Linked DNA regions of Arabidopsis thaliana. The protein of the gene in region 2 interacts with the protein of the main gene of each other region in a pairwise test. Each region holds a gene or a part of one and is shown on either strand. Other genes may lie near its edges.

What was found.
Region 1: the proteins of GRF4 (region 2) and BIM3 interact in a two-hybrid assay, tested with the Arabidopsis thaliana proteins (one large-scale study listed by BioGRID).

The regions. Positions count from the first base shown.
Region 1 is NC_003076.8:15,557,266-15,561,907, reverse strand, and holds BIM3 (BES1-interacting Myc-like protein 3), read right to left. Parts: upstream 3,008-4,642; 5' UTR 2,826-3,007; coding exon 2,671-2,825; intron 2,573-2,670; coding exon 2,497-2,572; intron 2,418-2,496; coding exon 2,322-2,417; intron 2,178-2,321; coding exon 1,840-2,177; intron 1,352-1,839; coding exon 1,222-1,351; intron 1,099-1,221; coding exon 997-1,098; 3' UTR 782-996; downstream 1-781. Other genes in the region: AT5G38850 (Disease resistance protein (TIR-NBS-LRR class)), read right to left, coding at 3,478-4,605.
Region 2 is NC_003074.8:19,615,351-19,620,583, forward strand, and holds GRF4 (growth-regulating factor 4), read right to left. Parts: upstream 3,158-5,233; 5' UTR 2,919-3,157; coding exon 2,687-2,918; intron 2,590-2,686; coding exon 2,395-2,589; intron 2,098-2,394; coding exon 1,800-2,097; intron 1,245-1,799; coding exon 827-1,244; 3' UTR 627-826; downstream 1-626. Other genes in the region: AT3G52905 (Polynucleotidyl transferase, ribonuclease H-like superfamily protein), read right to left, coding at 1-121. UniProt on the Arabidopsis thaliana protein: Transcription activator that plays a role in the regulation of cell expansion in leaf and cotyledons tissues.

The DNA.
Region 1 (4,642 bases), on a different chromosome or scaffold from region 2:
AAACCCATTTCAGCCTCGTCCTCTTCAGCCACCTCCTGCTCCTCCATCGATATTCCCTCCAAACCCATTTCAGCCTCATCCTCCTCAGCTTCCTCCCACAACTCCTCCGTCGTTCTTCCCTCCAATATTTCATCAGCCTCCTCCAGCTCCAGCTTCTCCTCCTCCGTCGTTCTTCCCTCCAAACCCATTTCAGCCTCATCCTCCTCAGCCTCCTCCCACTCCTCCTCCATCGATATTCCCTCCAAACCCATTTCAGCCTCGTCCTCCTCTTCCCACTCCTCCTCCACCATGGTCTCTCTTTCCTCCACTGCCACCGATCTTTCCAGGCCTAAATCCACCACCACCACCTCCTCCTCCTCCTCCTCCACCTCCGTCGATCTTTCCATTTCCTCCATTCCCATTCCTACCACCACCAAACAAACCTGGCCCTCCTCCTGCTTCATCTCCTTCAGCAAACAAACAGCCTCCTTAATCGAACAAGAGTATCATAATATATACATATATATACCAAACATTTAGTCGAGAGATGAACTATCTGTTGTATAGACAGTCATATTTACATAAGGTTAAAGAATAAAGATGAGTTTTCAACTTCTACAGAATATTGCATCTGTTCTTGAATCTAAAGATCTAGATACTCTAGCTCAAATCAAGCTTGAGACACAAGAAAACAAGGACTCCTTTCTGCAAATCAAACGCATTACTTGATACAGACATGTCAACAAGCACGAAATAATTTCCCGGTTAATAGTGTGAGAAATAGAAGGGCAAGAAGTGATATATCTAAGAGACCATATACTTAAAGTACCATTAAATGGAGCAAACTCTTGTTATAGATTTGCGAAACTTGTTACATCATTCTACTTAGTTTTTACTATATCATTTAAAATAGTTGCAGCACGATAAAAGTAGTATCTACACCTACTGATCCTGACTCACCGAAAGTAACAAAATTATCAAACAGTTGTCATAACATAGAAAATAGAAAACCAGATCTTATCGTCTTATTCTCTTCTGGGAATGATCAATATCATTGCAGAAGCTTCTAGTTTCAGTAGGAGAGTCCCCTTCTTCATCAGCGATGCTATTACCATTATCCTAATGAAAAAGATACATAGCATCAAAATACAAATTAAAATACATAGAAATGTTTTTATAAGAATTACTTGCAGAGTAGTAGACTTCTTTTTCTTTTCCACTGTAAAAATGTTACAGGCATACCTCAGAAGCAAACGCAGCAACAGAATACTCGCGATCTTCTCTTTTCCGAAGGCTTAACTGCACAGATATCATGGTCTCTGACATGTTAACACCCGATGACTTAAGTGCTTCAGTTAGAGTGTTAAGTACCCTGTTCACAATCAAACCAAACAAGAGTTTTCAATCAAATCTCTCCATCTTTATTTCCTCCAGTTATCCGTTTTTAGAACCCTGAGTCTGTTCCAAATACAGAAGCAGATAGGATCTTCAGTTTGAATGACTACCTATTTAGGAGAGAGAAGCACTATTCAAAAGAGAAACTTTGGATTATGGTTATGCAAAATCTTTTCCTCTAACAATTACCAAGTTTACAGCATTTATCTCATACTCTATCCTACAGAACTTCATAGCCAAGGCAAACAAGAAGTCTCCGCAAATAGCTGAGGCATCATTGGAACCTTGTATTATATCATTCTCTCTTAGTATCCAAAAAAGGTAAGCCACTGTTTAAGGAGAGCCAGACAGGAAGGAAATGAGTGTACATCCGTGAGAAACTATATACCAACCCAAACTTTCTACCAAAAAAATGAATTAATTACTGAACAAAAAAAGCTTTATTTTGCTCTACATATGTCTTACCTTTGTGAGCAGACAGTGGACAAGCTGGCTGATGTTTTTTCGTCAGATGTTAACAATTCATTTGTAAAACAGTTAATTGTTCCACAACTTGTTTTTGGTTGCCAAAAGTCATGCTGAACAAACTGCAGCGAAGGCTCGGTACGTAGATACGATGAAACTGCTGAAACAGGACTGTGTTCAGGAATCTTGGTGCTAACTGCTGAGTCAATATCAGGATTTACTGAATTGTACGTATCCAAGAGAAAACCCGAAGAAGCAGCAACTTTATCATTACTTGAAAAGCTTTTAACGATTTGAGGATGGTCATTTTCCTCCGCAACAGACCCATGACTATTTCTCTGCATCAAAGTTACATGAAACAGTTGTCAAAAATACCAAGAAAGATGAAACACTTAACACAATAACCATGTTTCTCTAAAAAAATGTAACAAAAACGATTCAATATAACAGAAAACCAACCAAAGATAGGAGAAGGAATATACCCAAGGAATCAATTTGGTTGGGGATTGATACCACATTTGGTGAGAATCTTCATACATGTGAACTTTTTCTTGAAGAAAGTGAATATACTCTATAACCTGAGACAACATATAAAAGCAAACATCATTCTGATTCTCTGAAACACATGTTCTGTTCAAAACTATAAATTTTACTAACCTCCAACAAGAAAGAAGCTTTATCTCGTTTCTGATCATTCTGATTCTGAGGTATAATATCCATTAAACTCTGAAATCTGTATCCACCAACCAACAATCACAAATTACGAAACTTTCTTGTTACCCTTTTTAGAAAATCTGATAAAAATTCAAACTTTGAACACTTATTATTTACCTTTCATTGATTTTGCTTCTTCTTCGTTGCTCAGTCTCTGAGTGTTTCGATCTACACGAGTTTCGATTTCTCCTCCCTGTTGAAGAATCATTTCGAGAAGGCAAGTTACTGTATACATCTGCTTCTAACTGATCATCGATATCATGAGAGTTCATAGTTCGATGAAGTACGACGAACTCGACCCCGGAGATGGCGCAGTGACCGAAACTCCGGCGAGTGAGACAGAGACTGTGATTGATTTTTGTGTAGGTGTGTTCGTCGAGAAGGTGAAAAGAAAAGGAAGATAAAATCGAAAATTACATAGATAATGTGAAAGGCTCAAAAGCCCATTTAAAACGGATAGTTTCAGGCCCAAATTAATTCACTGTTGTTGCTACTATCAATTTTGTCAGTTTTCACGATCCGTACACTGCATTTCAGTAATATTTGCTGCATCCGAATTCAAACAGTATGATGCTACTACTCATCATATCCAACTCAGTGAAGCAGCCAAACAAGTCATTGTAAAGTATAAACAGATATTCTTTCCTCACTTGCAAATTCGTTCGACTTCTCCACTTTGATATTCTCCTTCTTGCTTCTCTCATCTTCCTCCCCAAACTAAACTTCCGATGCTTCTCACAATATGGGAGACATCAAAACAGATGATGAGCCAACTCCAACAATCTGTGTATTTGTTGGCTTCGATCTTGTCTTCGTTCGAAGTACAGATTAGGCTATCATTATGTCCATTATTTTTAGAGCATTCCAATGCTTCCACGGGTCCAAACTCATAGCTCCAATCGTTTTCATCTTCACAAACTTGGTCTATTTCATATTCATTTCTCCTTTCACTGATTTCACCTGTTCATCTGTATAGAATCTGACACCACACTCAATAATCTCATAGGTGTCGGATATGTTGCTGAATTCAAACAGTATCTCGTTGCCTACTTCATGACATTTTTCCTTGTTATGCAAGTCAGAGTGAAACATAACTAGATGTTCTGCTCGAGGTTTGGGGATAATATAAATAGGTGTTTCGTCATCGGAGCAACCGATTTTGCCAATGCGAGGACAAAATAAGGGAGAATTGCTAGTTTCTTCAGCATCATGGTTAGGGGAAATCACGAGGAAAACCTTAAATCCAAAGAATGCAGAAAAAGGAGTCTTGCCCTCGAGACGAACGGTGATGGAATGTCCGGTAGATCGGTGGTATAAGTCAGTGGGCAACTCTCTTCCAGGTAAGGATGCCCACCCATGAGAAAATGATTGTTGAATAATTCCTCTGCGTGCTTCTTGGTTTAGTTTGAAGCAGTTGGTGAAGCTGAGTTCCATGTATGAAGTATTAAAAGGGCAAGATACGCTCTCAAGTGATTCACACTCGTTTGCTGATAAGTACAAGAGCGAACCAGGAAGCTCTGGCAATGATGCGAGTTTTCTGCAGCCACCTAGAAATAAAATTTGCAGCCCATGAACATTTTTGATGTCATCTGGAATCTTCTCAATTCTAGTCTCGCTGAGGTCTAGATATGTTAGGTTTAGGGGCACATGTGTTACTATCTTGAGGTTTCTACTTTTGTATATTTCGAGAGTACGTAGGCGAGACCACATCGTCATTGATTCAGGTAGTTCTTCCACATCAGTGTATGATATGTCGAGTGAACTGATGTTTGTAGAAATATCTGGAAAGCTTTTTAATCTTGAGCATCCATACATGTTGACCAATTCAAGAGACTTCAAGTTGATATGAGGTGGAACTTCTTTTAGCCTTCTGCATCCCATCATATTCAAATACTTTAGCTTATGCAGATAAGAAAAGGAGGAAGGAAGCTCTACTAAATTCTGGCAAGCTCTCAGATCCAATTCTTCGAGATTTGTAGCATTTGACAGATCCGGAAGTTTCTTTAAATACCATGAACTTGACAAAGACATCTTCTTGAGATTTGCAAGGGGCTGAATGTAAACCAGATGTTAGAGTAGAAACATCAGA
Region 2 (5,233 bases):
GATCTGAGATAGCTAATCCAACATACTTATCACCAACATCTAAACCCAGAAACCGACCAGGGACTGACACTTTGGTCTTCAGCGCATTACCCAATAAGCTCAATGGCTTCACATACTTCATTTCCTGATCAAAAGTAAGTGAATCAAACTTCCAAAACACTTGTTCAAATCAAGACTAAAAATTCACATATCAATTGCATAAATTTGAGAATTATTGTACAAAAAAAACTTTAATCAGACCATCAAACAAACATTTCGAAAAAGGGTTTTAGAAATTAATCAGAAAGTTTAAATCTTGACGTACTTTAAAGGCGGAAACTTTCTGGCTCCGGAGCACGGAATCTGGCGAGAGGAAACGACAAATGGTTCTGCTAAATGTCTTCGCGATTGAAGCAAGCAAGCACAAACCCCAAGATTGTGAATTAGAGATGGACCGGAAAAGGTTTATTCCGGTTAAGTTCGAGACTTCACCGTCTAATCAATCTATACGATGCCGGTGATTATCAGGGTTTTGGTTTTACATTATACCGGGAACCGGTTAATTCGAGGTGGTTTAACTGGTTTCCCAAAATTGATTCGGTTTAGCTTAAGTGAAAAGCTCAAGTAACCACCTCTCCTGTACTTACTTGCAGGCAGAGGATCATATTAGTTTCATTGCTTATACAAAATTGTCAAGCTTTAAACATAAATATAATAGCAGAGTAAGGAACAAAACAATTCCAAAAGCAGAACTCACAATTCCAAAAGAAGACAAATTCAAAGATTATTTTCTGCAGAAAATAAAGATTCAAAGAGCACAAACCAAAAAGATTACAAACACTTTTCTTTAATGAAAAACTTGAGTAGAGATTCCCATCTGATGAAGAACACTTGACGTCGAAGAAGCTGACCTCAAAGCCTCAGCTAATGGTCCTCCCATATTGTTGTGGTGATTCCCTCCATTGCTCCACCAATTCATTTGCTCCCTCTCATTGTTGTTATTTCTCATGTTCTCTTCTTCTTCTTCATTGCCTGTGGAAAGTTTTAGAGAAACATCTGAGGACGTGTTGTTACCGGGCATGGAGATTGAAAGATGACAAGTGGATGAGCTCATTGGACTGGAGGTAGAGTCTGATGATCGTGGCCAATCGTCAAAGAAATGCCTCAAGATGTGACCATCGTCTGATCTTCCATTGCTGAATCCACTGTTAGCTTCATATGGCCTCTTGTTGTTGTTGCTTTCTTGTTTCATCTCTGAAGAACAACTGTGACAGAGAGGAATAAACATAAACATAAACATTGTCAACAAAAAGATCCAACATTTGAACAATAATAAGTAGACTGATCAATTCAACAAAATGGTTAGAGAAATAATTTAATCAGTCAAATGTGTGTGTTAATAAGAGGAAGTGGTTGCAGAATCTGAGAGCTTTATTTTGTTTGGCTTCTATGCAGGTTTGGTCAGCTTTCACTGAGGTCCTACCATGTCATTATTTCAAATACAACATAAGTATACATATCTCTTTAACTTTCTCTCTCTTTTCTATTTCTATGATTGAAAAGTCTCACCCAACTAGTAAATAAAATTAGATTCTATCAAATCCAACTGTTATCATTATCTCTCAACAAAAGAAAGAATAATGTTTTTATCACAAAGTATGTATGATAAGTCTCTCTTGTCACCCTATTGCCAACATTACCCCTTTCTTCACAGCATTACTTCACAGTGAAATCACTATTTCCCTAACAACAATATTTGTAATTAACCAAATCTACTAATGACTTTAATTAAACAGAGTGTTTGTGTTTTTTTATTGTACCTTTGTTGATGACTAAGGTGGAGAGGTTGAGATGAACCAGAGGAGAAGAAGTGGTTGTTGTTTGGTCCATGACCAAGCTCCTCACCTAAGACAAAAGAAGATGCGGTTGTTGTGGCTGTCGTTGTGATGGTGGTTGTGGCGGTTTCCACAGGCTTTCTTGAACGGTTTCTTCCACGGTGAATGTGGCGGTCACAATACTTGTGGCCCGCTACAACATCCCTTGAACATCTCCATTTCTTGCCGTCAGTTCTCTTACACCTCCCTGGCTCAGGATCCATTGCTCCTCTTCCCCAATACCCTGTTTTTTATTAAGTGTGTGTTGTTCATTAGTAACAACAAACATAAATCTCACTCAAGACATTGGTTACGAAATGTACTTGTCTGATTCTATCTATGTTGCTAATAGATCTTCTAGAAATAGGCTTATCATACACATAGGGTTTTAACTCCTTGCAAGGTTGCAGAGCAGCCTTATACTTATTTTAGATCTTGGAAATATAACTCCAACACCAAAACAAAGGGAATCTTTTTTACAAAGAAAGACTATTTCAAGGATAAGAGAAGCATAAACAATAGAGAGGAGAGAGAGACTGACAAGAAGGTTGGTGATGAGGAAAACTATGTTGAAGAGGATGGTGAAGGAAATGCATAGGAGATTGATGGAGGAGACTTTTCTTAATAGGTAAGAGAAGCTCTTGAGGAACAGAAGCACCAGCCAACATGTATCTATAGATCAGTGCTTGTAGCTCAAGTTCTTGCCACTGTGCCCAGCTGAAGAAGTTTCCCATCTCTACATATATATGTAACATAGAAACGTCAGATTAAATATCAGCAAAAACAACTTCAACATTAGAGTGAATAAGTCTTGTCCTTTTAAAACAACTTACTGAGGAACCTGGAAGAAGAAGAAGAATTAGAAGAGTCAGGAGAGAAGCAAGAGAAAGAAGAGGAAGAAGTGGGTTCAGGGACAAAGAGAGGAAGAGGAGCCGCAGCAGCAGAAGTAGCAGTTTGGGACTGAATCTGATCAAAGAAAAAGTTTGATATCTTAGTTGCAGCAGAGCCTTGTTCTTCTGACTCATTCTGCTGCTGACTTCTCCATTGTTTCAGTTGCAAGTCCATGGAACAAAGAGAGAGTGAGTGAGAGAGAGAGAAAGAGAGACAGACAGAGAAATGTGTTGGTTGCTTTTGGGATAGTTTTTTTACCCTCACTTCTTTTGTTTTTAGAGAGTCTGGCTTAATAAGCAAAGACAACCACAACAAAAGTCTTATTTGTTTGGCTTGTCATGTAAATACCCAAAATAAAAAACTTTTTCTTCTTCACTCTTTTGTTAGAGAGAGCTAGAGAAAAGTGTTTAGACTATGAGACAAGACAGTTGATAGGATAAACAAAATTAGTATATAATATTTGATTGATAGGTTTAATAAATTGTTACTTTATGTGATATAAAAATTATGTAAGTCAGAAAACAAAGAGAGAAAGCACTGCAAGATGCAGATGGAGAGATAGTAACCTGCAGTGTTTATGTCTCACTGCCTTGGAAATATCACTTCCTTTTTTTACCTCATTTTAATATTCCTTAAGTAGGTTAAAGAGATGCCTATTATGATATTGTTATTATGTTTTTTTATTAAGGATTCATTTAATGTGATGTAGAGTAACCTTCAATTTTTGTCTTACAGATGTCATTTGTCTCAGAGATTGTGTTACAAATGTATGAGATTCTAACTTCTAAGCATGATTAATCATTTGGGTTTTGACTAAATAGTCTCCATTTGCAGAGAGCTACAATACAATCTCAGCTCTATTTACTCTCTTTGGTTAGTAAGTTTTCCAAATACTTTACCATTTTAGTGGTTTAACCATATTTGTCTTTTAATTTGTAACCGTCATTACTTTTCTCATCTGTTACAATATTATTGTTACTCATAAAATATTATGTAACGTCTGTGTTTGTTTGATTTATTAAAAAAAAATTATAACTTCCTTATATAAATGTAGAAATGGACATTTATCTTTGTGTTATCTTAAAAAGACATGGCTAGCTAGTAGTATATGTACATATCTAAACACATCGAAAGGAGGGAATCATATTATTACCAGAAAAGGCCAAGTAAACTTGGAAACATTTGTTAAAATGAAGTTAGAAACATTTATTTGATATCTTCACTTGGCTGAATAATACAAAAGACATTTATGATTTTCAAAGTATCTTTATTTGGTGGTGCCAAAACAAAAAACGATAGCATTATTTTGTAGTTTTGAGGAAATAAAGTAATAAATATGAGAAGGACGATAACGATATTTCATGTAGGAGTGAGCCACAACCAAAGACTATGATGACTATTGAGAGAGTTTCTTGAGTTTTCTTTTCATTCATTCCCACCAGTTTCGGCGGCATTTATATTTGCACTAAGAAAAATATAAGAAAAACTCAATTCCTTAAGTACAGTTCAATGTTATGTACACTTCATTTGCTGTAAATCTTGTGAACCAAATAAAAAAGAAGAGGAATATCATAACATAACACCCAAAATAAACTTTGTTTTCAAAATATACCATAGGTTCTTTTTGACTTTGTAAAATTTTCCTTTTTGAAAAACAAAAATCTTTGTAACAAGTATAAAGCGGCAACTGAATTTAATAAACATTTTACGTTTTTTTTTTTAGAATAGAAAAAATATTTCGCAAATGGCCTAAACAAAATATTAGCCTCTAAAATAGAAATATTTTTTGTTGATACTTGATAGTATAATGGATCTTGTGCACTAATGATGGGTCTTAACTAATAAAGTAATAATGGATCCTGTGCACTAATATTTTGGGCCAGAACTTGTCATATACCAAAGATAATGATATCGAAGGAAAACAAACTGAAAGCAAAGTGTGAACGTAATGACATATTGTATGTCTTTTTTCAATCATGAACACGAACAAAGATTACATGCAGATGCAGTAATACTAATGGTAACAAAACAACCAAACAAATGTTGATTATCTAGACTAACTTTATATATATCTTGTTTAAACTTTAACCTACATGGTTATTAGGTTATACATGGTAAATGCATTAGTTTAAATTACCATACTACATACATTTTTATATGTTGCTCATGTTCCAATTGTTTCGTAAAACCAAATAAAATGACAGAAAATATATAGTATTATTCAGTGGACAAGGGTTGGGTCACGTGCTAAGATTAAGACCAGATGAGATCAGAAGAGGGCCCGGCCCAAACTCTCCACCTACTCACATAGATTTGAAAATCACGGGAGCTGATCCGAACCGAGCCGAGCTGGAGTAAAGATGGAGCCGGACAACGAAATCATAATCTGAGGAGGCTCTCTCTTTAGTTTCCGACGAGGGCACAGACTGTGGGTCTCACTATGTAATGTGAGATACCAAATATATTCTTTTCACTTTTTGACCAAAAGT